Linked DNA regions of Oryctolagus cuniculus. The protein of the gene in region 2 interacts with the protein of the main gene of each other region in a biochemical or structural test. Links are inferred from orthologs where the notes say so. Each region holds a gene or a part of one and is shown on either strand. Other genes may lie near its edges.

Region 1 (5,541 bases), on a different chromosome or scaffold from region 2:
CCAGCAGGGGCCAGCGCCCCGCGGTGCTGTGCCGCCAACACCGGGGCAGAACACAAGGTGAAGGCAGGGGACAGAGGCCTCCGCAGCCGCTGTCTGTCACCGGGGGCGGCACTCGGACAGCAAAGCGCTCAACGCTGGGTTCTTACGGGGATCAGGACAGAAAAGCCCAGAAGCCCTCAGGCCTTCCCACCAACCCCAACCCTGACGGTGACTCGGGGCAGCAGGGGCGAGGCCCGGCCCTGCCCTCGCCCTGGGCCGCGCCTGCGCCACGGGGAACGTCTGCCGCCGAGCAGCCGCTGCCCGAGGCTGGGGGGAGTGCGCCAGCCAGAGCCTCGGCCGGGCGCCCGGGGGCCGCCTACCTCTCCTCTGCTCTCCCAGAAAAGAAGGTGGTGACGTCCCTCCAGCCTTTGCTGCTGACTCCCTGGACCTGGAGGGGGGGGGCTGGTCAGACCCTTCCAAGCACACGGGTGCACGTGCCACGCAAGCACACGCATGGACAATCGCAAGGTCCCACGAAGACACAGACAAGACTCAGAAGTAAGGGTGTCAAACGTCACACACGACACACACACGTGCCGGGAGACACAGCTCTCCCAGGCAGGGCCACCTCGCGCCCGGCTCACCACACGCAGGGGACAGCGCAGGCCCCACCCAGAGCCCTCCCTGCGAGTCAGCAGCTCCAGGACCACCCCGAGGCCGTGCAGCAGTGGCAGGCGTGTGGGCACTTACCACGGGAAAGGCCACGGCAGCAAGGGCAGAGGAGGCGACAGGTTAGCGGCTGGCAAGTCCCCGCCAGGCCAAGCTGTCTCCATATTCCGCAAGCCAGAGGCAACAGGCACATCCCTGCCCCCCTGCACCGCCTCGAGGACGGTGGTCCCGCCACAGCTGGCTGAGGCCGCCGGCCCTGCCCTCAGGGCGGCGCCCGGAATATGGAGACTGGCTCGGCTGAGCCCACGCCAGGCGGGGCTGCCCTACCTTGGACGCCAACTGAGAGACCCCACTGGACACATCATCAAAAATCCTTCCCTCCTTCACCTGCGTGGAGCAAACGTCCCTGTTGGAGCAGGCGCCCAGGAGCGGGCTGTGGGCCAGCAGCGATGCCAGCATCAGGACACCGCGTCCCCAGGGGCCCTGCGCCATCGTGACAGACGAGGGGCAGCAGGGGCCCGTGGCTCCCTCAGGGCAACATCAGGATCCCGAAACCCCCACCTACACCCTCAAAGCGGGAATAACAAAACAACTCCCAGGGAGGGAAAAAGATCAAGGAGGGGGAGAAGGCGCTGCAGGCACCAGCACCGGGCAGCGGAGAGCGCAGGACGGCCAGCTGGGACCCGGCACAGCCTGCGCCGTGTGCGTGAGGACAGCCTATGCCAGTGTGCGTGAGGACAGCCTGCGCTGTGTGCGTGAGGACAGCCTGCGCTGTGTGCGTGGACGGCTGGGACCCGTGTGTGTGAGGACAGCCTGCGCCGTGTGCGTGAGGACAGCCTAAGCCAGTGTGCGTGAGGACAGCCTGCGCTGTGTGTGTGAGGACAGCCTATGCCAGTGTGCATGAGGACAGCCTGCGCTGTGTGTGTGAGGACAGCCTGCGCTGTGTGCGTGGACAGCTGGGACCCGTGTGTGTGAGGACAGCCTGCGCCGTGTGCGTGGACAGCTGGGACAGCCTGTGCCGTGTGTGTGGACGGCTGGGACCCGTGTGCGTGGACGGCTGGGACAGCCTGTGCCATGTGCTTGATGGAAGCTGGGACAGCCTGTGCCGTGTGCGCGGACGGCTGGGACCCTTGTGTGTGAGGGCAGCCTACACCCGTGTGCATGATGGAAGCTGGGACAGCCTGTGCGGTGTGCGTGGACGGCTGGGACCTGTGTGCGTGGACAGCTGGGACAGCCTGTGTCGTGTGCGTGATGGAAGCTGGGACAGCCTGTGCAGTGTGTGTGGACGGCTGGGACCTGTGTGCGTGGACGGCTGGGACAGTCTATGCCATGTGCGTGATGGAAGCTGGGACAGCCTGTGCCGTGTGCGCGGACGGCTGGGACCCATGTGTGTGAGGGCAGCCTGTGCCGTGTGCGTGAGGACAGCTGGGACCCGTGTGTGTGAGGGCAGCCTGCGCCCGTGTGCATGATGGAAGCTGGGACAGCCTGTGCCGTGTGCGTGGACGGCTGGGACAGCCTGTGCCATGTGCGTGGACGGCTGGGACCCGTGTGCGTGAGGGCACGAGGGGAGGATGCGCCTCCCCCGGGCGGTGGTGACTGATCCTGGAGGCCAGTGTCTCCCTGGGAGCTGGGCTGGAGGTCCTGTCTGAGGCGGCCCCCTGCCTGTAAGACCCCTGGAGGGGTGAGACCACCTCTGAGCTCGGCCCTGTGGGGGCCTGAGCACACGCAGCCATGAGTTACTTGGCCACGTCCCTCAGCCACGAGCCGCCAGCGCCCAGCCCCAGCCCCAGCCGGGGACACGCACGGCAACACCTGCTTGTCCACTGGGGTGGCCCAGGGTGCTGTGCCCACCCCTCCCGACCGGGACCCCAAAGCGTAAGCAGCCGTCTTTTACAGGACTTTGGTCTCGGAGTTCCAGACCTGAGGGGTTCCAGCGCTCGCCCGGGACCTCGGAGGCGGCTCATGCAGAGGCCCCTGGCCACAGAAGCCCCCGCCCCTCCCCCACAGGCCGCCGGCCGCAGCCGCAGCCCCGTTACCTTCTCCTGGGCTGGTCGGAGAATGTTCTCGTTCAGGCTGTGGCCCAACTCAGAGGCCTGTGGGAAGGAAGCCGCAGAGCTCACGGGTGCCCACGGGGGGTGGCAGTGGGACCGGCGTGCCCAGGGCCACAGAGGAGGGCAGCAGGGGCCACCCCACGTGCACGTGGCTGCTGCCCGCCCCAGGAAGGGCCCCCATGACAGCAGCGGGGCCCCGGGCTTGTCCCCACAGCTGCTGGCGGCTCAGCTTACACAGACACATCTGGGCGGCCCAGGCGCCCTGACCTGAGGACAGAACTGACCTCGCTCCCGCCCTACCGGCCGCACTGGGCTCCCATGAGCACCCTGACCCAGGCCCTGACCACCCAGACAGAAGGGAGGACAGAGGCCGGGGCTCCGGCAGACGCTGCTAGGGAGAGCCACGTCACGGTGACAGGAAGCACAGGCCACCTCCCCGTGGGCACCAAGGGCGGAGGGAGACCTCCCAGCAGCCCCATCTCGGCGGCCAGCGGGGACGAAGCCATTCTCCGCGGCCGGCAAGAGCATGCACCGCGCGGCGTGCACCGAGCACAGGGCTTTACCGGCTCTGGCTGCTGCCTGTGACCCCAAAACTCGACCCAGACAGCGAGGAGGCAGGTTAGGAGAGAGAGAGAGCGAGGTGCTACACGCAGCTTCCACAGCGCCCAGGAACACCTCCAGATCTCAGCCCTTGGCTGGACTGAGACCCCCCCGAGCCAGGGCGTCCCGGCCTCCCCCCGGCTCCCGCCTTCCAGACCTGGGCGAGCACCCGGGGAGGCAGCATGGCGGGAAGACAGCCCTCCTGAGGAGCTGTGCCAGCGGCCGTGAGGGACCGGCCTAACTGCAGGGCCTGGAGACTCCCCCAGGGACAGCGGGCGCCCTGGGCCCCAGCCCTGACCACGTGTCACGCACGGGGGTCACCAACCAACAGCAAGGCCATGGTGGACCCCACCGCCACCCGCAGCAGAGCTGCACCCCAGGGGCAGAGCCCCCTGCCCCGTTCGCCTGCTCGGTGAGGAGGCGGCTCCTGCCCAGAGGCAGAGGGGCCCACCCCACCCTGACTCCCCGCTACGAGTCTGGCGGGGGGCCCTGGAAGAACCAGCAGCGCCCGAGCACGCGGTGGCGCCGTGAGGAGGCCTCAGCACGCGCCAGGGCAGAGCTCCTCGGTTACCTTCTGACTGGCCTGGGATCCGAACTTTGTAGCCTGCGAGGGAAACAGGGCTGGTGAGTCCCGGCTGGGCCTGGCCTGGCCTGGCCTGGCCTGCGCTTCCTGCCAGTGGGCTCCCACGACTCCGTCCCAGGGCCGGCTTCTCACAGCTCGACCAGCAGCGGCTCCCAGGGCCGCGCCGGCCGAGCGCCCTGGGCCTTCCCCTCAGGGCCCACCCACTCATCTCCTGTGTCACTGTCTGTCCCGACCGAATCCCCCCTTCACACCCAGGAGCAGGCAGACGTGAGAGAAAACCCAGCCCCTCCGTGTTCTGAAAGGGCCAGAGGCTGGGGCTCAGGGACACAGGAGCCCACGGCCTGTCCACCAGGTGAGCCACGTCTGCCCCGCCACAGGCAGCTCGTCTCGGACCCTTGGAGACACTGCACCTGCAGCTGCAGCTGCCAACGCCGCAGGCCACTCTGCTGGGGGTGTGAGGCCCTCGTGGGGGGTGAGCCCCGGGGGTCCCGACACAGCCCGGCCCCCAGGGCCAGGGCCAGACGGCACCAGGTACTTACGCCCTCCTTAGCTGCTGAGGCGAACTTGCTCGCTCCGGTGGTAAAACTGCTCCAACCCTGAGAGGCACAGAATGGCAAGGTGGCCGCCTCACTGTGACCGCCCGACCCCGCTGACTGGCAGGCCCCGCTGACTGGCAGGCCCCGCATGACCGCCCAACCCCGTGTGACCGCCAGGCCCCGCGTGAGGCTCTGAGGACCACACCTGCTCACCGCCCGCAGCCCGTCTCTGCACCTCACTTTGAGTTAGTCTAAAAAGCCCTCCCTGGGCCGGCACTGTGGCACGGTGGGTAAAGCCACCACCTGCAATGCCAGCATCCACGTGGGCACCTGTTCCAGTCCCGGCTGCTCCACTTCCCATCCAGCTCTCTGCTGTGGCCCGGGAAAGCAGTGGAAGGTGGCCCAAGTGCTTGGGCCCCTGCGCCCATGTGGGAGACCCGGAAGAGGCTCCTGGCTGTGGCCTGGCCCAGTCGTGCCCTTGCAGCCATTTAGGGAGTGAACCAGTGGAAGATCTCTCTCTCGCTCGCTCCCTCCTTACTCTCTCTGTAACTCTGCCTTTCAAATAAATAAAAAAGAAATTAAAAAAAAAAAAAAAAAGCCTTCCCCTCGTCGAGGAACGGCTGCGCCAGCTGCACGCGGTGGCTGCCGTGGGCCTCAGAGGCGTCACCAGAGGGTGAGAATCCGTCTTGGAAGCAAAGTGCCCTCAGGGAACAAAGGTGACGCCGCGTCGCCGGCACCAGCACGGGCATCAGCCTGACCAGGCCTGGCAGTGACCGCGCAGCCGGAGGAGCCCTCCAGCTCTATCCCCCGTCGCTGTCACTCTGCCTGTCAAACACATCAACCTCAAGAACAAGAAACCCCAGCCCAGATCCGTGTCTTGGCTGGACGGCACTGGGGGCGGGGCAGGGGCCGCGCACCGCGCTGCAGCCGGCACCCACCGAGCACAGCGAGGACATGGCGCTGTTGAGGAAGTCGTCCTCTCTCTTCTGGGGCGGCACCGTGTTCCCAAACCCCACGTAGCGATTCTCCTGGGCCCTGAAAGCGAGCGCTGACGTCAGCCCGGCGGCTGCGGCACGGACCCCGACGCGCCTGCGCCCGACGGAGTGCAGGGGCCCACAGCCAC
Region 2 (4,436 bases):
GGTGGGGAAGGGGGATTCTCATTCACTTCTGGTTCCGGAGCTGATTGGACAGCCAGTCCAGTCCTTCATAGAGCCCGTCCCCGCTGGTGGCGCAGGTGGCCTGAATGTACCAGTTCCTGTGGCGTAGGGAGTGCAGCCCCAGCTTGTCTGTGATTTCAGCTGCGTTCATTGCATTTGGGAGGTCCTGGGGAAAAGCAGCAGTCAGCAGAAGGGGCTGCAAAACTGCCCAGCCCCAGAGCAAAAGCCCCAGATTACCTCAAGCCCTCCCCGTCCACCCCACTGAGGGCACAGCCCTGAAGGCTGGGCTGGGTGCCTGCCTACCTGCTTGTTGGCAAACACCAGGAGGACTGCGTCTCGCAGCTCATCCTCAGCCAGCATCCTCATGAGCTCCTCCCGGGCCTCGTTCACTCGCTCTCTGTCATTGCTATCCACCACAAAGATCAAGCCTGCAACACAGCCGGCACGACACAATGCCAAAAACACCCCCACATACCCCGCTCCTGAAGGTCACCGCTGGCCACTGTGGCTGCAGGGCTTGGCTCCTCCTGGCCTCCATGCTGCCCTGGACTCATGCTCTGGAGGTCAGGCCCTCCTCTCACCTTGGGTGTTCTGGAAGTAGTGGCGCCACAGTGGCCGAATCTTGTCCTGGCCACCCACGTCCCACACGGTGAAGCTGATGTTCTTGTATTCAACAGTCTCCACGTTGAAACCTGGGAGCAGAGTTGCAAAAGTGTCTCCTGGAAGACCAGGGCCCAACCCAGACCCCAGCCACAGTCCCGCTTTGGGCTTCCCCCCAAACCTGCGCCCAGGGCCTAGCTTCTCACCTATGGTGGGGATGGTGGTCACGATCTCACCGAGCTTCAGCTTGTACAGAATCGTCGTCTTCCCTGCAGCATCCAGGCCCACCATCAGAATGCGCATTTCCTTTTTGCCAAAAAGGCCTTTGAAGAGGTTTGCAAAGATATTCCCCATGGTCGTGCACACGTGGAAGCTACAACAGCCAGAGACCTGGGAAGACAAAGGGTGCTGGGTCTGTTTCTGTGGGGCGAGTCATGGGCCCAGCAGCACAGTTAGGGACCAATCCCTTGAGGATACACACACCTCCCATCACTGTGCTTCAATTCACAGGGCAGGACACGAGCAACAGAAAAGGAACCCTGCCTACCTATCCATTCAGGCTCCCCACGGCTGGGGAAAAGGGATGTCGGCATCTCGGGAGGCAGTTCCCAAGCCCACTCATCCAGGAAAGCAGAGATGCTGCAAGGGACTCCCTGACTCCCCCGGCCACGCAGCACGGGGAGAACATTCACCACCTGAAGTCGTGCTTCCCAGGGCATGCGGAAGGATCTGACACAGCATCACCTAACACCTCTTCCCCACAAAACTCCAGACAAGCAGCCAACACCCCCCACCCCCCACCCCCCGGGGCCAGAGAAGATTGCCCACGGCAAGTCTCAGGAGCACAGGCCAAGGAGCTATGCATACAATCTACAGGCAGCACTCACAGAACAAGACAAGAAGCCCTGGGCATCACATAGGGACATGTACCATGTCTGACCCACACATGGCCCTCAGGGTCCACTAGCAGGACACCAACACAGGGATACAGAATCAGAATCATCAGAGCCCAGCCCGAGACACCTGAGGACCTTCCCAGCCACTGCACTGCCCAGGGGGCCCTGGTCGTACCACCCAGTAGGCACTTTCAGTTTAACTCCAAATTTAAAAAGCACTCTAAGAATGCAGCCTTCACTGTGTGCTGACTAGCAGGTACAGGACAGAGGGTCCTGACACCGCCTGGGCATCTCCATCAGCAGATGATACTGCTTACAGCTCTGGAGACTGAAGTCAGGATCACCTTCTGACCTCAGAGGACACGAACCCACTCCTACAAGCCCTCCTACACAGCGGCACCAATGAACTCATAAGGGCAGGACCTTGACCTAGGCTCCTCCCAAAAGGCCTCACTTCCAACACTGCTGCACTGGACACAGTTTCCAACAGGAGCGCAGGCAAGGCCCAGACACTCCCTGGCGCCTAACTGCTGAACTGCTGCTGGAGACCTCGCCACACTCCTTGAGGCTCTGTACTTTGGGATGCCCCTCCAGTGCCCAGGCCAGGACTGCCTACGGCACTTGCCCCTGTGTGCAACAGAGGCTCTCTGAAGGAGACAGCTGGACACACGGCACACACTGCACCTCAGATGGCCAGACTCCTGACATGTCTTTAATTACAGCTGTTTTTTTTTTTTTTTTGGTTGTTTTTGTTTTAAATAGATTTATATACTGGTCTTCCACATGGGTGGCAGGACATCAAGCACGCGGGCCATCTTCTGCTGCTTTCCCAGGTGTGTTAGCAGGTAGCTAGATTAGAAGCAGGGCAGCCAGGGCTCAACCTGGCGCTCTGATAGGGAATGCCAGTGTCACAAGCAGCAGCTCTAGCTACTGTGTCGTAACACCAGCCTCCCAGCCGCTGCTGAGCACCCCACAAGGACAGCCTCCCTGTCCTGCCCAAGTGCCCTTTGCTGATCTGATGCCACCAGCCCCCCAGACAGCAGGGCCCCTTCACCTTGGCGTCTGTGCCCTGGATACTGCTGTTCTGTCTGGTTGGGAACCGCATCATCTATCCAAAAAGAACCACAGGAGTTTTGAGATGTAAGGAAACCTTTACTGTGCTAATGAGCGGACTAGACACACCTGGAGGGAAGAAGCGGCGGCTGGTGTGCCTGGGATACTGGAGATAGGGCCGGGCCAAGGGCATGTCCTCAGTCCTGCAGGGTGCAGGGAGAAACACTGGGCTGAAGGAGCTTCCAGAAGAAAACAGAGGTCTAAGGCCCCACAGATCTGTCCACACACACAGTGGGTAAAGCTGCCGCCTGCAGTACCAGCATCCTGTATGTCTGCCGGTTCGAGTCCTGGCTGCTCCACTTCCCATCCAGCTCTCTGCTATGGCCTGGGAAAACAATGGAAGATGGCCCAAGTCTTTGGGCCCCTAAACCCACGTGGGAGACTCAGAGGATGCTCCTGGCTCCTGATCAGCACAGCTCTGGCCATTGTGGCCATCTGGGGAGTGAACCAGCGGATGGAAGACCTCTCTCCCTCTCCATCTGCCTCTCTGTAACTCTGCCTTTCAAATAAATAAATAAATCTTTAAAAAAGAAAAAAAAAAAACATATGGATTGTGGCACCTGAAGGCCCTCCATAAAGTGAAGCTGCCGCCTCTTTGAAAAGCCTCAAACAAACAGAACTTGGAGGAAAACACACAAGACAAGAAACGGAAGACTATTTAAAGAGTAGCGTGGAGGGTGGGCGACCCAATCACCAAACACAAACCACACTGGCATCAACAAGTTATACAAAGTCTTGGAGAACCAAGAGATTGCCAAAATGAAAAATTCAAAATGAAGGCTTTGGGCACAACACAAAGAAAAACCAGCAAACTGCCCCTTCCTCATGACCCTGTCCAGAATGGCACAGGAGGGAGATGCCACCAGGCAGCAACGTATTTTCACACTAAGCCTGGCAACTCCTGGAGGCACTGGGAAAAAGCAACACATGAGGACAAAGGTGAACGGAAGGGGAGAGGTCCCCTTACAATGCACCCCAGAGCAGCCTGTATCAGCGTCAACTTGACTCTGCACACACAGCACTCACGGTCCCAACACTGTCACTGCACCACTGGACGCTGGGACACGGAGGCAGGACCTGTGCAGTAGGAGGCCTGCCCTCCCCGCCCACATCGTTTGTGTCGAGCCTAGAGGCAGGTGAGGAAGAGGGGGCTACCAGGACTTAGGCTGCAGGGATCTCATCCACGATTCTATTTGCATACACATACACTGCCTGTGACTCCAGAATCCAATGGACTGGGCCTGGCCTGCTCTTCAGCCCTAACCCTCACCCTGCCTGAGCAGCAGGGCTTGTGAGAACCAGTGGTCCAAGCCCCTTCCCCACAGTGCTTCTCTTTTTTCCTTGGAGAAGTGGTTCTTGTCACACCACCTGACTAGCACACAAGCACACCCTGCTACCTACACAGGCCCAATGGTAGGCAACACTTCCTGCTTTGGCACATCCCTCTGTTAACAGGCCCACAACGGACAAAATCCTAGTGGGGGTGAGTCCCAGTGACCCCTGCAGTCACTGCCCAGCCCAACTGCTAATTCACCATTTCCTCCACAATGTCACCTGCACACAAGCTAAACCTGTTTTTCAAGTTCACCTGAATTATACTGTTATTAGGTAAGCAGTGAAAACACAGGTTCCCAGAGGGCATCCTCCCCACACCACCAGAAGGGCTGCCCTGGACGGTTCTCCTTCCTGCCAGACCACAGCTCTCTCCTTTGGCAAGGAAAGGTGCTTTGAGAGGAATGTCTTCTCTCTGGTTAGGACCAGCTGGCCTTTACACATCACAGCAAAGCAGACCGCAGCTCTGCTCACTCC
Region 3 (6,070 bases), on a different chromosome or scaffold from region 2:
GAGCCTGACCCTCAGCAGCTCCTCGGGCAGGTCCCCGCCCTCGTTGATGCCCCGGTTCATGGCCACGAAGCGCTCGAGGCCCGGCTTGTCGCGCACGTTGGGGTTGTGCAGGCTGGTGTTCAGCATGATCACCGCGAAGGACAGCACGTAGCAGGTGTCTGCGGCGGGTGGCCAGGGGAGGCGGTGACCGCCTGGCCCCGGCCCCGCCCCCGGCCCCGCCCCCGGCCCCGCCGCCCCAGGGGCCTGCACCCTCACCTGTGGACTGGAAGACGCCAGGATTGCACAGGCAGTAGCGCTGGGCAAAGGCCTCCATCATTCGGTCAATCTTCTGGGCCTCCCCAGGGAGGCGAAAGCTCCACAGAAACTGCCTGGGGGCGGGGCGGGTGTGGGCGCCAGGACCAGCAGGAGCCCCTCCCCCGGAGCCGTGGGAGGGACCGGCCAGCGAGAGACCCAAGCGGCCAGGCCTCCGCCTGCGTCTCAGGGAGGGGCCCGTGACCCGGTCTGACCGGGGGGCACTGCCAGTGCAGCTCTGGCCCCTGGGGCGCTGCCTGGACGCCCGCATCCTGTTCCAGTCCCTGCTCCCCGGCTTCCCGCCAACGCACACCCTGGGAGGGAGCAGCTGGCGGCTCAAGTACCTGGGCCCCGCCACCCACATGGAGACCGAATGGAGCTCTGGGCTTCTGGCTTCAGCGTGGCCCAACCCTGGCTGTTCTGCCTAGGTCTCTCTCTGCCTTTCGAATAAAATGAAAATTAAAAATACTTCTTCTGAGGTTTCTAAACAGGTCTGGTGGTTGCTACGGGCTTCTGGTGCCACGTAGGAAGGTCAAGAAGCTCAATGCCAACACGACGAGCGAAGAGGGCGCCTGGATACGGCCGTGCCTGGAGGAGGCTCACTCATGGACTTTGGCATTACAAGAAGCAATCAACTCCCTAGTTTTGTGTGGGGTGGGGCTCACCACTCCGGACTAAGGAAAGTGACTTTCTGCCCCCCCGACCCCTCCCCTCACCTGAGGGCCTGCACCAGATTGAGGTCGGTGAACTCATGCAGATCCACAAAAGCATGGAGCACGGCCAGGTTCAGCTCCTCCCTGCGAGCACAGGACAGTCACACACACAGGAACGCACAGGGGGCACTGGGGCAGCTGGCCCTCGGCAGGGAACGCGGCTTCCCGCCTGGCCCCACGGCAGGGCTGCTCAAGTTTAGCTGCACCGTTGCTGGGAGACTCGCACCCACCACCCACGCCACCTCCTGCCCCCTCAGACGACCCCACACTCCCCAGATGTGGACACGGTGCCCTGGCCCCTAGACGTGCACCCCAGTGGCCATGAAGGCCTGCCAATGCCCCCCGCCAGCCACATGCTCCCCAGCCATCACCCAGCTGCACATCGCCTAGATGTCCACGGGGTCCGTGCTCCCTAGGGGCCTGCCACGCGTCCCCACACTCCCTGGCTGGCCAGACAGCTCCCACGCACACCTGCAGCCCATGCCTGGTTCTCCCACTCCCGTGATGCTCCTGGATGCTCTCTATAAGGGGACCCCCGTCTTGGGCGCTGGCAGGCCGCCCACACCCAGACACACACACTCCGCAGCAGTCCGGTCCGAGGGCCAGTGTGCAGGGGCCCTGCCCAGGGAGCGAGGCCGGCAGGCATGAAGGGGCTCACCTCTCCCCCAGGTAGTCCCCGATGGCTGTCTTGTTCAGCCCCTCACCCTTGTACAGGAAGCGGGCGATCTCCTCGGGGGTATTCTGCAGAAGTTCATTCTCCACCAAGAACTGGATCCCCTGGCGGGCGAGAGCGGGCTCTCAGTGCCCGGGGCCAGGCCGTCACAGGTGCCTGGACCTCAGCCTCCCTGTCCCTGCCTGGCTAGGTCCACGCTGAACACCTGCTTGCTGAGTGACGGTGTCAGTGGGCAGCAGTGGTGGACACCGAGCCCCAGGCGGCCTGGAGGCTCCTCGGCGCCCTCTTGGCCGTGCAGCCCCTACGCTGCAGCTACAGCTCGTTCTGGGCGGTGGGTCTGTGTCCAGGGCCTCTCCTCCCTGGGTCCCCAGCTCCGCCCGGCACAGGGTCGGGCCCTCGGGAGGCACTGGAAAACGGGTGTTAAATGAACGACTGGGTGAGCAATGCTGGGCCAGCGTGCGCGTCCCGGCTGCTCCACTTCCAAGCCACCCGCCTGCTAACGTGCCGGGAAGGCAGCAGATCATGGCCACGTCCTTGGGCCCCTGCACCTGTGCGTGAGACCCGGAAGAAGCTCCTGGCTTTGACCTGGCCCAGCCCTGGCTGTTGGGACCTCCCTCCCTCTCTTTCCCCCTTTTAAAAAAGTCTTTCCTCCAACTGGTGAACGCCTCTCCATCCTCCAAACCTAACCTGGTCTCCTCCTCGGGGCAGCCCCCCAGGCTCCCCGTTTGGCTGTCCACAGCCTGGTGTCTGGCGCCTCCCCAGAGGTTGGACTGCTCAGGGCTCACAGCGCAAGCGGACAGCCAGTAGCTGAGTCCAGGGACTGGGGACAAACCTGCTACAACCCCCCGCCCCCCGGCAGCACCCAGCCCTTGGCCCCCGGTACCTTCTTGGGGTCCATGTTGAACTTCTTCCTGCCCATTGCCATCTTCCGGTTCCGCTGCAAGGTCTTACTGCAGGGGACACGAAGCAGGGCGGGGGCGGCGGCCCAGGGTCAGGCCTGGCGTCCTGGGCCGGCCTGGCTCGGGCCGCCCGCCCCGGGCCCGGCCCTCACCTGCCCTCGTTGGCCTCCAGCCCCTCCACCTCGCTCATGGCCTCGCTGAGCTCCTCCCGCAGGCGCTGGATCTCCACGAGCAGCTCCTGCTTCCGCCGTCGGATGTTCTCCAGCTCCATCCGCTCCTCCGGCGTCAGGTCTGGGGGTTCTGCGGGGCCGGGGTCGGGGTGCCGAGGGTCAGCCCTGGGGCCGGGAGCCTGCATGCTTGCAACGTGGGGCGAGACGGGGCTGGGGCAGGACGCAGGTGAGGCGCCTGCCTCGGATGAAGGGGGCACTAGCAGCCTGGACCGCTCAGGCCAGGGCTGAGGCCGGGAGTCCCGGGGGGGGCGGGGGGGCTTAGGGCCCGGCCCCCAGAGTCTGAGGGGGAACCCGCGTGGGAGCCTCGGCCTCCGGGTCCATTACTTGGAAAGCGGCCGTGGTGTTCTGATTCCATTACTGGCGCGGCGGCCGGGGGGCCCGGGGGAAGATGGGCCTGGGTCTTCGGAAGCCCTGGGTCCAAGGGAAGTGACCACGGCAGGAGAAGCCGACGGCAGCCCGCGGAGTCGGGACGGCGCGGCCGGGCCTCGGCGGACCCGGCAGCCCCCACGGCCTCCCCTCCCCGCCCGCCGCTGGGCTCGCCCGGCCCCTCCGGCGGGAATGGTTCCGCCCCGGCCTCGCCTCCGCCGCGCCATCCCGCCCCCTCCCGCCGACGCCGGAAACGGGCTCGGCCCAGACAATGGCCCGGAACGCCCCGCGCTCGCGGACCCCGCCGGAAGCCCGCCCGGCGCCCCGGCCAGCGCGGCGGCGACGGCGGCGCCGAGGACCCCGGGCGGCGGGCGCCGGGCGCGAACGCCGGCGGCGGGGCGTTCGCCAGGGAACGCTCCATCCGCTCCACGGCCCCGCCCCTCCGGCCTACCGTAGACGCCGTCCTCCATGGCGGCGAGGAAGGCCCGCGGGGAGTCCGGGGCGGTCCCGCCAGTCGGGCCTGGATCCGCGCTGGCCCGCGGGCTCGGGTGAGCCCGCTCAAACGCCCCGGGAGCCACCGCCGCCTCCTCAGCGCCAGTCCTCAGCGCTGAAAAGACTCTCCCTTCGTCGCCCAACCGCCCGGCCGGTAGGGACCGCCCCTCGTCTTGACACCGCCCAATCCGCGGCGACCCCTCCGGGCTGCACCGCCCCCCGACGCCAAAGGACAGTCCGCCCAGGCCAATAGGCACACAAGAAACAGGTGTTAGGCATGTCCGGCCGGAGGTAGACAGCCAGGGGGCCCAATCGGGGTGCGGGCAGGGCGCCAGGCCCCGCCCCCGAAACAAAAGAATGCCCTTGGCAAGCCTGTCCACCAATGAGAAGCCTCGCAAAGGCGTTGTGAGGAGGTGGGGCTGTGCGCGAGCGGAGAACACTGAGCCTGCGCAAGGACTCGGGGCGCGCGGAGTCTGGGTCAGTCGAGCCCCGCCTCTCAGCACGTTGCCAGGGGGCGTTACTTTGTTAGTCCTGTTGCTAGGGGGCGGGGCCTAGGCCGTGAGCCACACCTCCCGGCCGGCCACGCTGGCTTTGGACCGCCGCGGTTGCCGCGCAACCATGAGCGGCTTCGCCGGCCTTTTGCCTCGCGTCTCCCTTGCTACGTGCAGACCCTTCCCTTAACGCCCCACATGACCACTCCAGCCGCTTCAGGGTCAGGACGTAGTGAAATGGAGTTCTGTCAAATGCTACACTCCCGGGTACCGGTCACGCAGAATGGGACGTTAGGGACAGCACCGGCTCCGCCCTCTTTCCTAAGCCCCTCCCCTTAGCGTAGCATCCTCCCTCCGAGTCTCTACCTCTTTCTCTTTTCTCTGCCGCCTCTCTGCTTTCTCTCCCCCGACTCCGGCTCTGCTCTGTTCAGGCATCCCCCACCCCGACCCTCTCAGACTCCCCCCGCGCCCCAGGCCCTCCCGTTCCACAGCCCCGGCCGGGGGTGGCAGGTGCGCAGGTCCCGCCTGGACAGAACCGCCGAGCCCCTGTGAGTGGTCAGACCACGGGGACTGAAGTCTCTGGGCCTCACCTCATTTGCCGTCCCTGGGCTGGGCGGGCGGGGACGGATTCGGGGCCAGGACCTGGTTAAGCCGTTGGATTAGACATGGAGCCTTTTAATCCCCTCACTGACCTTTATGAGCGGCCCGGGTCCTGTCCTACCCGGCCAGAGAACGGCGTGTGTCGGCTTTGCCCCCATTCTGTCCTTCCAAACCGAATCCCTCCTCGTCACTGCACCCCAACTTAACATCCTCCCCCACCCCTTGAGACTCCATTGTCCCCTGCCCCTTCCCCAGACACCGCGAGCTGTGAGAGCGGCCAGCTAATTAATCCCATCCGGTCATTACACGGGGATTCTGAAGGATAAAAGGGGTCGGGGAAGCCCGAAGGGGACAGCCGGTTGAGCAGTACTTGTGCAGTGACAGCGCCTGGCCTCGGCCTGCAGCACGGGAGTGGAGACGCCTCCTCCCTGCCCTGGCACTGGCTCCCTCTGCGGCTGGCTCCCAGCCTGCAGGATGATTAGCCACATGGCAGCATGGGGGCGGGCCTAAGACCTCCCCAGAAACACTTGTAGACACCCCCCGTCAGCGTGCCCAGTTCCTTAGTCTGGGGGACAATCTCCCGCACAATACCCACTTCCTCTCCCCTCCACGGGAAGATTCCGGTGTTCAGAGCTACTTCCTCCCTGCCCAGATTCTAGAGCTAGGCCAGGGACTAGCTGGCTTTGGCCATTAGCCATGGTTCCACTACCCCTTGCTGGCCCTGTGATGTCCTTTTTACTTATGTATTTGAAAGGCAGGGTGACAGTGAGAGACGGAGCCATCTTCCACTTGCTGGTTCACTCCCCAGATGGCTGCAACAGCCCAGGGCTGCACCAGGAGCCAAGAACTCCACCCCAGTCTCCCACACAGGTAGCAGGGGCCCGAGCACTTGGGCTGTCTTCTGCTGCTTTCCTTGGTGCATTAGCAGGGAGCTGGATTGAAAGCCGAGTGACCGGGACTCGAACTGGCACTCCACTGCCGTTGTCACGAGTGGCAGCTCCACACACCGCATCACCACGCTGGCCCATGGCCCAGTGATGTAGGTGCCCGAGTTCAGAGACAGCTTCCAAGGGCACCTCCCATCCCAGCCACCCCTGGAAGGCCAGGTGCTCCAGTACCGGGATCCACACCCCCACCCCGCCCTCAGTGAGGGGAGGAATCACTAAGTTCCAACACCGCTTTTCACAGATGGTGGAGCCGAGGCAGGGAGTGGGAGTCGTGTGCCCAGCGCCACACAGTAAGAGGATGCAGGGTGGAGCTTTAGCGGGAAACTTCCTGGACTGCGTTCCAGTTGGCTGCAGCCTGATTTCTAACC
Region 4 (6,023 bases), on a different chromosome or scaffold from region 2:
GGCTCAGGCTGACCTCCAGGTGCCTTCGCTAACACCCTCCACCCTGCCTTCCAGAAACCCACTGCTCACGGACATTCACAGGGAGGTGCAGCTTGGGCCCCGCTGTCCTCAGTGTCACCCTAAAGTGGAGACATCACCTAAATGCGAACCCCACTTAAAGAGCCCCAAACCTCTGAGTAATTTATGTCGTGGGAAATACATAAAAGCTGGGAACTCTAATAAAAATCAAGAAGGCTAATAAAACACAAGAGGCCCTGAAAGCTGAGGGGGCTTGGTCCGTTTATCCGGAGCAGATACTGGCCTTGCCCAAGTCTCGCAAACAATGGTAATTCACACCTTTTAGCCAAACGCAAAAAAAAAAAAAATCATCCAGATGAAAAGTACAACTTTAAAAAGAGGGAAAAAACCAGGCACTTAGATCTTCAGAACAAAGCACGGCCCCGAGTTCTCACCTGTGTGTTTAACGAGTTCATTAAAATCGGGTTTTCGATGCAACCCACAACCCTAGCAGTGTCATTACATCTCAGGCCAAAGTAATTCCACCCCAGAAGGACCGGCCACCAGGCCACCAGGGACAAGCCATCACCATCGCAGGCTTACTGTAATTATTACTACCGCTGCCCTACAGGGAAACATCCCAACAGGCTTCACACCTCGACTGTTCTCAATCTACCAGCCCATTTGACAGAGGGGAAATACTCAGACCTCAAAGGCTTTTGGCTTGTATCAATAGGCACCGTGCGGTTCTAAGCCGTGTCTGTGCACCCCCACCCCCACCCCGCCCCGAGGGAGACTGTCTGGAACCCAGGCAGCTAATTACCATGTGTTCTGAAGTCCACAAGAACAAAGCGGCAGGCCTGCTATTAGAGGGAGGGCCGAGCCTTTCAGAGGTGAGACTTCGGAACCCAACCAAGGCCGTGCGTGGCAGGGGAGCACCAACCAGAACCCCCACCCTTTCCTAATATGTAAGAGGACCAGGCAGGGGTGGGCTAGCAGCTGCTGTCAGACAGGAAGTGCCCCCAGGCAGGTTCAAATCAGGCAGGGATGGCAGGCCACACTCCCCCCGTGGAGACCGCACCTGCCACACCTCCGGCATCCTCTTGCCCCTGAGGGTCACCAGAAGCTAAGGGAACAGGGCCCTTCTGCCTACAGGGTACCCGAGCGACCGCGGGGACCCCTCTGTGCCGACTCCCTAGGGCGGGCAGCTAACCTGCGACAGCCACTTCTCCAGGAGGCACCAAGCTGACAGCTACTACTGCAAAGGCCACGCTCCACCGGTGGGCACCCAGCCCACGGGCTGAGGTCCAGGCAGGATTCCCGCATCCTATCTCAGAGTGCCTGGGTTCCATGCCCCGCTCTGGCTCCCGACTTCAGCTTCCTGCCAGTCCCCGGGAGGCGGAGGTGAAGGCTGAGGTTGCTGGGCCCCTGCCACTCACGTGGGAAACCTGGCCTGAGTTCCAGGCTTTGGCCTGGCTTGTCTGGCCCAGGCCCAGGGGTTGTGGGTATTTGGGGAGTGGCCCAGTGGATACAAGCGTGAATAATTTTTTAAAAAAGCCACGCTGCAGCCTGCCAGCTACCTTTTCTCTGCCAGCAGTGGGCTCCGGTCATTAGGATGAGGGATATGATTAATGATAAGGGGATGTCAAGGCATATGCCCAGCCCACGTGAGCAGGGTGCAACCATCCAGCCACACCCCTTCCGAGTACCACAGACGGGATCTGTGTTTTGCAGTCTCTGGAGGCTTCTGGCCCCCAAATGCTAGCAATTAACTGACTCCTGCAAGAGGCACTCCCCAGAAGTCCCATCAGAGACCTGAGATGCTTGCCAGAGCGCCCTACTGGGAAACAGGACCCTGCCCAGGAGGATGGGGAGGGCGAAGCCCTCTCCCCATCAAGACACCTGCTGGCAGCAAGAAGGACCCCCACCCTCCACTCCTGCCCTACCCCTGCCGGGAACTCTCAGCAGGTGAGAACCGCCCAATCAGCTGAGCCCACGGCACAACACTCACAGATGGTAGCACTGACAGGGAGCCCAGACTGCAGGCTGGGGGTGGGGGTGGGGGGCACAGGATAAACCAAGACCAATGCTGATTTCTCCTGCCAGGCAGCTGCACCTGCGCCCCAGGCTGCGCAAGCCAAGCACGGCTCCCTGGAGGCCACAGGTACCAGACGTGCTGCAGGTAGCCAGCTCCCTGCCTGCTTAGGGAGAAGGCTGAGCTGGACAAGGGGATCCCTGTCCAGGTCAGACCCCCAAAGACCACACACACACACACACACACAGCCGCGGCGGCACTCATTAACTTCCAGAATGCTGCAAGACTGCTAGGGAAAAACCGCAGTGTGTCAGTCTACGTGGGGCTCCTGACCCGGCAAGGCAGGGCCCACGGCTGCTCCGCGCCGGAGCGGGACCAGGTCCGTTCCCGCCACTCCCCCCCGCCTCGCGCGCCCAGGGCCCAGCTGCCCACCTCTGCGCGGGGACCCGCCGATGCTCTCGGCGCTGGACGAGTGCACGTCGGCGGGGGCCCGCCGCAGGCTGCTGAAATAACCCCGCTGGCGCGCGGCGCCGTCCCTGCGCGCGAAGATGCCGCTGAAGAAGCGCAGCAGCCGGCGCTCCGAGGCCGCGCCGGGGCCGGCGGCGGCGGCCCGCGCGCGCTCCAGCCGCTGCAGGTCGCTGTTGTCCAGCGTGCGGTTCTTGCTCTTGCTGCACTCCCAGCGCTCCGCGTCCGAGCGCGCGTCGCCCTTGTTGAGCACCTCGCCCACGTCCAGGGTGTTGCGCTTCTCCGACGCCGGCTGCGCGGCGGCCCCGTCGCCCGCATCCCAGGTCAGGCTCCCGGAGCTGCCGTGGCGCCTCCCGACGCCCAGGGGCGGGCTCTCCTCCGGGCCGCTCCAGTGCCTGAAACTGAGGCTCCGCCGCAGGGGCGCGGCCCGGGCCCCCTCCAGGTCGGGGCTGCTGGGACCCTCCTCCGCAGCCGGAGGGCCGCCGCCGGCCAGGTCCACCGGGTCCGGGCCGCGAGCGCACGGCCGGAGCCGCCCCAGCTCCAGCTGCCCGGTGCTGCGGGTCCGGAAAGTGCGCAAGTCCCAGGCGCGCGGCTCGCGGTCCTCGGAGTCCTCAGCGCCCGCCGCCTCCTCGGCCTCCTCCACGAGCCGCCCAGGCGCGTCCGGGGAGCGCGGGGGCCGGGGCCGCCGAGCAGGGCGCGGGTCGGGGCCGGACGCGGCCAGCTGCTCCTTCCTGACCATGGTCACGGAGATGCGGTAGACCGTCTTCCTGGGGGGCGTCCCGCGAGGCATCGCGTCCGCGGGCGGCGACGCGGGCTCGCCGCTGCTGTCCAGCAGGTACATGGTGCCCCGGCCGCGGCCGTCGCGCCGCCCGCCGGGGCCCTGCGGCAGCCAGAGCGCTCGCGGGCAGCGATGGGCGGTCGGTAGGAGGGTCCCCGGGAGAGGTGCTGGGGGCCGGCGGGAGGGCCAGGAGCGGGGCCCACGCCCCCCCGCGCAGAGGCGGCCGCGCTCAGGCTGCGGGTACGGCGCCCCTGGCGCCCGCCGGCCCGTGCGCAGCGCGACCCGAGTGCGGGGGTCCGGGCCCGGGGCGCTGAGCCATGGGCCGGCGGGGCGCGGTGGCGGGCGGGCGGGCGGGCGGGCGGTCAGGCGCGGCTACGGCCTCGCCGGCAGGTGCGGCCGAGACGCGCAGGGCCTGGGGCGGGCGGCGGCGCCCGCGGCTTCATTGTCTATGGCGCGGGGCCCGCTCGCATCTCCGGGGCATCTCCGGGCCTTTTCTGCTCCGTTCGGCGACTCGGCAGCCTCCGCCACTCCCGGGGCCCGGGCCGCGCGGGCAGCTGCGCCGGCCGCGGTCGAGGGGCGGGCGGGCGGCGGTTTAAAATGGAAATGCGCGCCGGGGCGGGGCGGGGGCCGACGTGCGGGGCCGCGGGCCGCGCGCGCCCAGCGCAGCCGGCAGAGCTCGGGAGCGCGGCGGCGGCGGCGGCGAGCGCGGCGTGCCCAAGCGCCGGGCTGGATCGCGAGTGCGCGGACCGGAGCTTCGCGGCGCCGGCGCTGGCCCTGTCCTAAGGGGACGCGCGACCCAGGGCTGGGCACAGGACAAAGGAGGGGCCGCTCTCCTGCTGTGGGCTCAGGGCGGCGCTCTCAGCACGCAGCTCTGCAGACCAGACCACGCTAGGACTTGTTGGAGCACAAAGGTTCTCTTTCGTACCGGCTCCCGGGAAGACAAGAACCAGGGAGGAGGAGGAGACCCAGTGTGTGGGGAGGGGCAGGAGGAAGGGCCTGCCTGTCCAGGCCAGGTGGGGCCACCTAGGATGTCCACCTGTAAAGTGGGGAGGCAGACAAGAGCTGCTGAACTCTGACCACCGCAGGGAGGGCTGTGTGGTTTGTAACACTCTGCGCTGGGCATCGATCTATATCATCCGTCTCAGACAGAGACAGATCCTCCATTTGCCGCAACAACCAGGAGCCGGGAACTCCATCCAGGTCTTCCACGCGGGTGGCAGGGGCCCAAGCAGTTGGGCCATCTTCTGTTGCTGTCCCAGGCCATAGCAGAGAGCTGGGTGGAAGTGGAGCAGGCGGGACGGGAACTGACACTCCGTCATGGGACGCTGGCTTCACAAGCAGAGGCTGAGCGTGCTGTGCCCCCCAGCCCCAGCCCCAGCCCCCGGCCCAGCCCCAGCCCCAGCCCCAGCCCCAGCCCCAGCCCAGCCTTGATTACTTAAAAAGTTGAGCTTCTCGTCCATCAGATCCGCCCACGAGACACTGGGCCCAGGGAACATCGGATGCAGGGAGGACGCCTGTCACACGTGCCTGGTCAACACGGCGTTCCCCATGCTGTCCTGACATGCATGTGCGTTTCAGACGAGAAGCATGACAAATACAAAGTCTGCCAATCAAACCAGATGCTTCTCCAGGCCCGGGACTGCCGAAGCAGTGCCTCGGCACGGGCTAGTGATGTGCAGGCAAAAACCAGGTGCCGGTGACCCCACTCTACTGTGTTAGCAACCACTCGGGGGCTCCACTCTGTTCCTGACGCTGAAAGCAACAGAAAGATAAGCAGGTAGGCTCTCTGCTGAAAGAAGTCAGAGTCTAGCAAATCTGGAACATTACCCAGGTGAAATTACATGTTCAGACAATGAAATAAACCAGAAAGACTGCTGGGTGGTTTGCTTGTTTTTTTTTTTTTTTAATTGAGATGGGGCGATTTATTTATTTTTATTTTTTTTACTTATTATTTATTTATTTATTTACTTTCTTAAGATTTATTTATTTATTTGAAAGGCAGAATTAGAGAGAGGCAGGGGCAGAGAAAGAGAGATCTTCTACCTGCTGGTTCACTCCCCAAGTGGCAGCAGTGGCCAGAGCTGAGGGGATCCGAAGCCAGGAGCTTCCTCAGGGTGTCCCACGTGGGTGCAGGGGCCCAAGCACTTGGGCCATCCTGTGCTACTTTCCCAGGCCGTCAGCAGGGAGCTGGATCAGAAGTGGAGTGGCCAGGACTCGAACCTGTGCCCATACGGGATGCTGGCACTGCAGGCAGAGGCGTGCCCTGCTACGCCACAGCACAGGCCCTGGGAACATTTCTAGGGGCCACCCTGTCAGGGGATGCTCAGTCTCAGAGGGTGGCCCCTCCCTGGGGCATGCAGTTCACACTGTCCAGGCCCACACCTGCCTTCCGATGCTGTGTCTCTTGCCGTGGGAAGCACCCTGCTTTCTGGATGTTACAGCGAGCAGACGGGTGAGCCCTCCTGAAGTGACACCCGTCAGTGGGCCACGCCACCTGGACACGGCGCCCCGAGCCGGCGCTCACTCATTTCTTCATTCTCCCACCGGTTCGTTTATTCGTTCAATATACACTCAGGCTGCACAGCGACAAGGCGGGGTGCCAGTCCTCCAAGGCTGGGTGCTGTTACCGTAACGACTGAAAGGGGGCAAGCCACCCCAAAGAGGGCCGCGGTGCCCGGCGTTCCGTCTCACCCAAGAGTACCACGAGGACCTGGCAGGAGTCGAACATGTCACAGCCGCAGCTGCACA
Region 5 (6,206 bases), on a different chromosome or scaffold from region 2:
AACAATAGCCAAGAGGCACATGGAATGTGTTCAACATAATTAATTATCTGAGAAATGCAAATAAAATTTCAGTGATGGGGCTGGCACTGTGGCACAGCAGGTTAATGCCCTGGCCTGAGGTGCCGGCATCCCATATGAGCACCAGTTCTAGTCTCGGCTGCTTCTCTTCTGATCCAGCTCTCTGCTATGGCCTGGGATAGCAGCAGAAGATGGCCCAAATCCTTGGGCCCCTCACTCACGTGGGAGACCCAGAAGAAGCTCCTGGCTCCTGGCTCTGGCTGTTGCAACCATCTGGGGGAGTGAACCAGTGGATGGAAGACCTCTCTGTGTGTCTCTACCTCTCTCTGTAACTTTCAAATAAATAAAAACATAAGTTTTTTTTTTTTTGACAGGCAGAGTGGACAGTGAGAGAGAGAGACAGAGAGAAAGGTCTTCCTTTGCCGTTGGTTCACCCTCCAATGGCCGCCGCGTCCAGCGCGCTGCGGCCGTTGCACTGCGCTGATCCGATGGCAGGAGCCAGGAGCCAGGTGCTTTTCCTGGTCTCCCATGCGGGTGCAGGGCCCAAGCACCTGGGCCATCCTCCACTGCACTCCCTGGCCACAGCAGAGGGCTGGCCTGGAAGAGGGGCAACCAGGACAGAATCCGGCGCCCCGACCGGGACTAGAACCCGGTGTGCCGGCGCCGCTAGGCGGAGGATTAGCCTAGTGAGCCGCGGCGCCGGCCAAAAAAATAAGTTTTTAAAAAATTGCAGTGATACACACATTATGCTTAATAGAGTGTCTAATCTTAGAAATTGGCATTATGGAGCTGCATTGTGACACTGAGGGTTTAGCCACCATGTGCAATGCCGACATCCCATTTCAGAGCGATGGTTGGAGTCCCAACTGCTCCATTTTTTTTTAAAGATTTATTCATTTATTTGAAAGAGTTACAGAGTGAGAGAGAGAGGGAGGGAGAGAGGAAGGGGGAGAGAGAGAGAGAGAGAGAGAGATCTTCCATCCATTGGTTCACTCAGATGGCTGCAATCTTCCATCTGCTGGTTCACTCCTCAGATGGCTGCAATGGCCAGTGATGGGCCAGGCTGGAGGCAGGAGCTTTATCCAGGTCTCCCACATGGGTGGCAAGGGCCATCTTCTGCTGCTTTCCCAGGCCATTATCAGGGAGCTGAATCAGAAGTGGAACAGCCAGAACCTGAACTGATGCCCCTATGGGATGCCAGCATTGCAGGCAGCAGCTTTACCTACTGTGCCACAACACCAACCCCTGTCACCCACATGGGAGACCCTGGTGAAGCTCTTGGCTTCCCCCTGGCCCAGCCCTGGCCATCTGGGGTCTCCCTCTCTCTCTGTAACTCTGACTTTCAAATAAATAAATACGTTTTAAAACTTGACTCTCACATGTTGGCCATTGTAGAATATCTGGAACTACTGAAGATTGTGGAAAACAACTTGGCGGTTTCATGTAGGTTAAACATACACTTATATAACCCAGAAACCCGACTGCTTCATTTTTGATCCAGCTCCCTGATAATGCAACTGGGAAAGCAGCAGGTAACTGCCCAAGTGCTTGGGCCCCTGCCATCCATGTGGGAGACCTATATGGATCTCCTGGCTCCTGGCTTGAGCCTGGCCCAGTCTTAGCTGTTGTGGCCATTTGGAGAGTGAACCAGTGGATAGAAGATCTATCTCTCCTTCTTGCTATTTCACTCAGCCTTTCAAATAAATTAAACCTTTTAAAAAAGTTAACTATCAAGGGCCTGACTTCGTGGCATAGAGGGTAAGGCTGCTGCCTGCAACACTGCCATCCCATCTGGGTGCCACGTCTTGTCCTGGCTGCTCCACTTTGAATTCTGCTCCCTGCTAATGGCCTGGGAAAAGCAAAGGAAGATGGCCCAAGTGCCACCTACGCGGGAGACCCTGATGAAGCTCTTGGCTTCCCCCTGGCCCAGCCCAGACCATCTGGGATCTCCCTCTCTGTTAACTCTGACTTTCAAATAAATAATATATTTTAAAAATTGAATCTAGCGTGTTGGCCATTGTAGAATACCTGGAACTACTGAAGCTTGTGGAAATGTGAAAATTGTGGAAAACGACTTGGCAGTTTCTTGTAGGTTAAACATACACTTATATGACCCAAAAACCCTACTGCTATTTACTCAAGAGAAATAAAAGCCACACAAAGACTTATACAGGAATGTTTATAGGAGTTTTATTCAGAGCAGTCAACTAGAAACAATCCAACCGTCCATCAGGAGTAGATAAAGCAACCTGCTTAGCTTAAAAAACAGAAATGTAACAAAATGTCATTTTCCCTGGACTGTCCTTGTTTAAAAGTTCAGAGTCTACCACGGAGCAGGCGCGCAATAAATGTTTGGTGAATGAATGTAAGGGTGCATTTCCCCTCATCCCCTCCTTCTACAAACGCTCTCCGGGAAAAGGAGGCACCTGCAGGTGCCCCCGCGGAAGCGCGGCCAGCCTGGGGCCCGAGGCAGCGCAGCTGGTGGAGAGGCCAGCGCGGAGGGACGCGCGCGGTTGGAGCGCACACTGGGTGGCGACCGGGTGCCCTCGGACCGAGGGCACAGCCAGGCTGGGCGAAGGCGGCCCCCGGGCGGTGGGAGGTCCCCGGTCTCGCCGGGCCGGGCCGGGCCGGGCCGGGGCGGGCCGAGGGCGGCGAGGGCGGCGGGGGCGGGACGCGCTAGGCGAGAATCCCGCGGAGGGGAGGCCGGGGCCCGTCCCGCCCCCGAGGGCAGGCCCGAGCCCCGGCCCCGCCCCGGCCCGCTGGGGTGTGGGCACCGGCTCCGGCTCGCGTTCGCCTCCGCTTCCCTCGGCTCGCGAAACCGCGCGGGCGCCGGCTGGAGCTGCCAGGGTGAGGGGGCCGGGCTGGGGGCGCCGCGGGGGTGTCGCGCCCCGGAGAGCGGGCGGGGACGAGACCGGCTGCGACCGGCGGGGGCCTCTGACTCAGCCGCACGCTCAGATTGCAGGAATCTTCTCCCGGGCAAGGAGCGCGCAACTTCCTCATTCCCGCCGGGACCCCCGCGCTCGGCCGGCCTGGCCCGGCCCGAGCCGCGTTGGCCCCGCGCTCTCTGGTTTCTGCGCTGCCCTAGTTCGGGACATCCGGGCTGGGTTGGGTGTACCCCGGGGGCTCCGGTTCGCGAGAGGGCGGAGTTGAGGGATCCTGCATCCTGGGGTAGGGGATGGAGGTTCTAGCCGCGTCACGGGGAGGTGGCCGGGCAGGAGGAGGTGAGAGGCGCAGGTGCGAGGCTGGGGGGTGGGACCTGCAGGGCTGATCGCCCCCCTGAGGCGGCCCCGCATTCCTAGATGACGGCGACCCCCAGGAGCCCCTTCTCCTCTGGGGACGACCTGGACTCCAGCCAGTTACAGATGGAGCCGGATGAGGTGGACACGCTGAGGGAGGGAGAGGACCCAGGTACTCAGGATCAAGGCCCCCGGGGGAGGGGAGCCGGGGAGGGCTGGGGCCCTCCTGGGGGCTCCAGTCTTGGACTTTGTCTCCTCCCAGCTGACCGGATGCACCCCTTTCTGGCCATCTACGACCTTCAGCCGATGAAAGCGCGCCCCTTGGTGTTCGCCCCTGGGGTCCCTGTCACAGCCCAGGTGGTGGGCACCGAAAGATACACCAGTGGATCCAAGGTGGCCAGGCAGGCCCCGGGGTGGGGGGGTGGGGTGGGCGTGGCTTTGGCCAGAGGGGAGGGGACATGGATTCAGCGACTCACATCCTCAGGTGGGAACCTGCACTCTGTATTCAGTCCGCCTGACGCACGGTGACTTTACCTGGACGACCAAGAAGAAGTTCCGTCATTTCCAGGAGCTGCACCGGGACCTCCTGAGACATAAAGTCCTGATGAGTCTGCTCCCCCTGGCCCGGTGAGGGGAGCCCAGCTGCATGGGGAGGGCAGACGCCCCTCGACCCGCGGCAGCCATTGCTCCTTTCTGTGCAGCCCACCCCCAGGCACCTCCCGGCCCCCAACTCCCCTGACCCTGGTTACTAGGAAACTTGCCCTGCTCAGCTCTCCCTGGCTGCGGTTTCGTGCCAACATCTCAGCTGGGCTGGGTGCCCAAAGTGGCCTTGGCAGCCTCTCCAATCCCAGGACAGGGAGGTCTGCCTTGTGCCAGCCCCCTGACCTCCTCCCAGACCCCAGCAGCCCAGCCTGCCAGTGCCTTTGCCCCCACCTGCGCCTCCACACCAGGCTTGGGACAGGGCCTGACCCGCACCCCATCCCTTCCGCAGCTTCGCTGTTCCCTCTTCTGTGACCCGAGAGGCCACCAACAGAGAGATGCCCTCTCTACCCCGAGCAGGTCATGAGGGCTCCAGCAGACACACAGCCAGCAAGCAGGTGCGGCAGACACCTGGTTCCCTGGGAAGGCGTCCCTCTGTGCACGTGGCTCTGGTCCCACCTGTTTCTCTTTCCCATTCCCACTTCAGAAATACCTGGAGAATTACCTCAACCGCCTCTTGACCATGTCCTTCTACCGCAACTACCACGCCATGGTGAGGTCCCCGAGGGGACGATGGGCCTGGGTCCACGGGGCCACGAGGGACCAAAGGCCAGGGGGCTCCTCTGCACTTTCGTCTTCCTCTGCAGACAGAGTTCCTGGAAGTCAGTCAGCTGTCCTTTATCCCAGACCTGGGCTCCAAAGGATTGTGAGTGTGGAACACCCCTCCCCCAGCCGTCTGCAGCCCTCACTCCCCAGCCCTTCCCGCCTGAGAACGGGGCGGGCAGGGGGCTGCAGCCCTCATCCAGCGTCTCTTCCTGGTTGTCCCCACAGGGAGGGCGTGATCCGGAAGCGCTCGGGTGGCCACCGCGTCCCTGGCCTCACCTGCTGTGGCAGAGACCAAGTTTGTTATCGCTGGTCCAAGAGGTGGGGGTGGGGACTGAGCAGCTGAGCGGGGGCTGGGGGTGAGGAAGGGGAGCTGGCGGGCAGGGAGGAACCGGAGCCCTTCCGTCCAGGTGGCTGGTAGTGAAAGACTCCTTCCTGCTGTACATGACCCTGGAGACCGGCGCCATCTCCTTTGTTCAGCTCTTCGACCCGGGCTTCGAGGTACAGGTGGGGAAGAGGAGCACAGAGGCACGGTATGGGGTGCGCATCGACACCTCCCACAGGTGAGGGCTCCCCGGGGTGAGGGGACCCAACCTGCCACCCTCAGGGGGGTTCATGCGGGGCCGGGGGACTGTGGCAGAGAGGAAGGGAAGGCTTTTCCAGTGCCTGGGATCCAAGTAGTTTTGAACCTGGGAACTGGTCCAGCCACATGCTTGGGATGCTCTTACAGTCTGGGGCCAGAGAGAGCAGCCCCTGTAAGCCGGAGCGGGGGTGGGGGGGAGGGTGGGGGGGGCGTGCTCCCAGTGGAAGAGAAGCTCCCTTCTCATTTGCTCATTTGACGAACCTGAGTGCCTGAGCCAGGGCTGCTTGCTGGGCCCCGGCCAGGAGTTAAGTGTAGCCTGGCCCCACGGAGTCCTGATTAAGGACTAAGGGAGGAAGTAGGAAAAGGCTGAAACAGGGAGGTCCTTGGCAGGGTATGAAGGGCCAGGACCACTGGCCCCGTCCTCGTTCCCCTCCAGGTCCTTGATTCTCAAGTGCGGCAGCTACCGGCAGGCCCGGTGGTGGGCCCAGGAGATCACCGAGCTGGCTCAGGGCCTCGGCAAAGACTTCCTGCAGCTGCACCGGCATGAGAGCTTCGCCCCGCCCCGGCCTGGGACCTTGGCCCGGTGGTGAGACCCTGCTGTCCCTTCTGAGCCTGTGTGTGTGTGGCCTTCCTGACCCCCTGAGTTCTGTGGGTCCTCGGTCCTCTCTTATCCCTCTGACCCCTGCTGACCTCAGTGACCCTCCCTGACCTCCAGCCTCTTTAACCACACTGATCCCCCTGACTCCCCTCTGACCTTTCTGACCCCCAGGCTCGGTAATCTCCTCTGACCCCTGATCTCTCTGACCTCATACGACCTTTCAGATCCCCGCTACCACCCTGAGCTGCTCTCCGGGATCTCAGACCTCTCTGGTACATTTCTTCATTTAGTAAAGGTTTCCTAAGCACCTGCTATGTGTGGGACGCAGGCTTCTATGGTTGAGGGAAGTAAGTAATCCCATCATGAAATATCGTGATAGATGCAGGGCACCGAACACAGACTGGGGGCGTCTGCCCAGCGTGAGGACCTGGGGACAAACTTCTAGAAGGCAGTAACCTCAAGGCTTGCT

The links.
Region 1: the proteins of ARF1 (region 2) and ARFGAP1 form a complex in vitro, tested with the Homo sapiens proteins (2 studies listed by BioGRID, with this or other methods). The link is inferred for Oryctolagus cuniculus from reciprocal best matches to the Homo sapiens genes ARF1 and ARFGAP1.
Region 3: the proteins of ARF1 (region 2) and CYTH2 are reported together in a solved structure, tested with the Homo sapiens proteins (3 studies listed by BioGRID and IntAct, with this or other methods). The link is inferred for Oryctolagus cuniculus from reciprocal best matches to the Homo sapiens genes ARF1 and CYTH2.
Region 4: of the proteins of ARF1 (region 2) and AGAP1, one has a biochemical effect on the other in vitro, tested with the Homo sapiens proteins (2 studies listed by BioGRID, with this or other methods). The link is inferred for Oryctolagus cuniculus from reciprocal best matches to the Homo sapiens genes ARF1 and AGAP1.
Region 5: the proteins of ARF1 (region 2) and PLD2 form a complex in vitro, tested with the Homo sapiens proteins (2 studies listed by BioGRID). The link is inferred for Oryctolagus cuniculus from reciprocal best matches to the Homo sapiens genes ARF1 and PLD2.

Annotation. Positions count from the first base shown.
Region 1 is NC_091442.1:562,561-568,101, forward strand, and holds part of ARFGAP1 (ADP-ribosylation factor GTPase-activating protein 1), read right to left. Parts: intron 5,454-5,541; coding exon 5,357-5,453; intron 4,479-5,356; coding exon 4,422-4,478; intron 3,904-4,421; coding exon 3,871-3,903; intron 3,293-3,870; coding exon 3,263-3,292; intron 2,742-3,262; coding exon 2,685-2,741; intron 1,036-2,684; coding exon 976-1,035; intron 428-975; coding exon 360-427; intron 1-359. UniProt on the Homo sapiens protein: GTPase-activating protein (GAP) for the ADP ribosylation factor 1 (ARF1). Involved in membrane trafficking and /or vesicle transport.
Region 2 is NC_091437.1:240,873-245,308, reverse strand, and holds part of ARF1 (ADP-ribosylation factor 1), read right to left. Parts: exon of another isoform or gene 2,697-4,436; intron 1,009-2,696; 5' UTR 973-1,008; coding exon 825-972; intron 711-824; coding exon 600-710; intron 447-599; coding exon 322-446; intron 185-321; coding exon 23-184; 3' UTR 1-22. UniProt on the Homo sapiens protein: Small GTPase involved in protein trafficking between different compartments. Modulates vesicle budding and uncoating within the Golgi complex. In its GTP-bound form, triggers the recruitment of coatomer proteins to the Golgi membrane.
Region 3 is NC_091449.1:8,592,012-8,598,081, forward strand, and holds the start of CYTH2 (cytohesin-2), read right to left. Parts: upstream 3,610-6,070; 5' UTR 3,594-3,609; coding exon 3,131-3,593; intron 2,877-3,130; coding exon 2,729-2,876; intron 2,628-2,728; coding exon 2,561-2,627; intron 1,782-2,560; coding exon 1,663-1,781; intron 1,089-1,662; coding exon 1,008-1,088; intron 369-1,007; coding exon 256-368; intron 159-255; coding exon 10-158; intron 1-9. UniProt on the Homo sapiens protein: Acts as a guanine-nucleotide exchange factor (GEF). Promotes guanine-nucleotide exchange on ARF1, ARF3 and ARF6. Activates ARF factors through replacement of GDP with GTP.
Region 4 is NC_091434.1:4,209,865-4,215,887, forward strand, and holds the start of AGAP1 (arf-GAP with GTPase, ANK repeat and PH domain-containing protein 1), read right to left. Parts: upstream 3,888-6,023; 5' UTR 3,339-3,887; coding exon 2,465-3,338; intron 1-2,464. UniProt on the Homo sapiens protein: GTPase-activating protein for ARF1 and, to a lesser extent, ARF5. Directly and specifically regulates the adapter protein 3 (AP-3)-dependent trafficking of proteins in the endosomal-lysosomal system.
Region 5 is NC_091448.1:51,411,081-51,417,286, reverse strand, and holds the start of PLD2 (phospholipase D2), read left to right. Parts: upstream 1-2,730; 5' UTR 2,731-2,865; intron 2,866-3,317; coding exon 3,318-3,426; intron 3,427-3,516; coding exon 3,517-3,647; intron 3,648-3,738; coding exon 3,739-3,881; intron 3,882-4,245; coding exon 4,246-4,351; intron 4,352-4,440; coding exon 4,441-4,506; intron 4,507-4,600; coding exon 4,601-4,659; intron 4,660-4,784; coding exon 4,785-4,877; intron 4,878-4,966; coding exon 4,967-5,119; intron 5,120-5,575; coding exon 5,576-5,725; intron 5,726-6,206.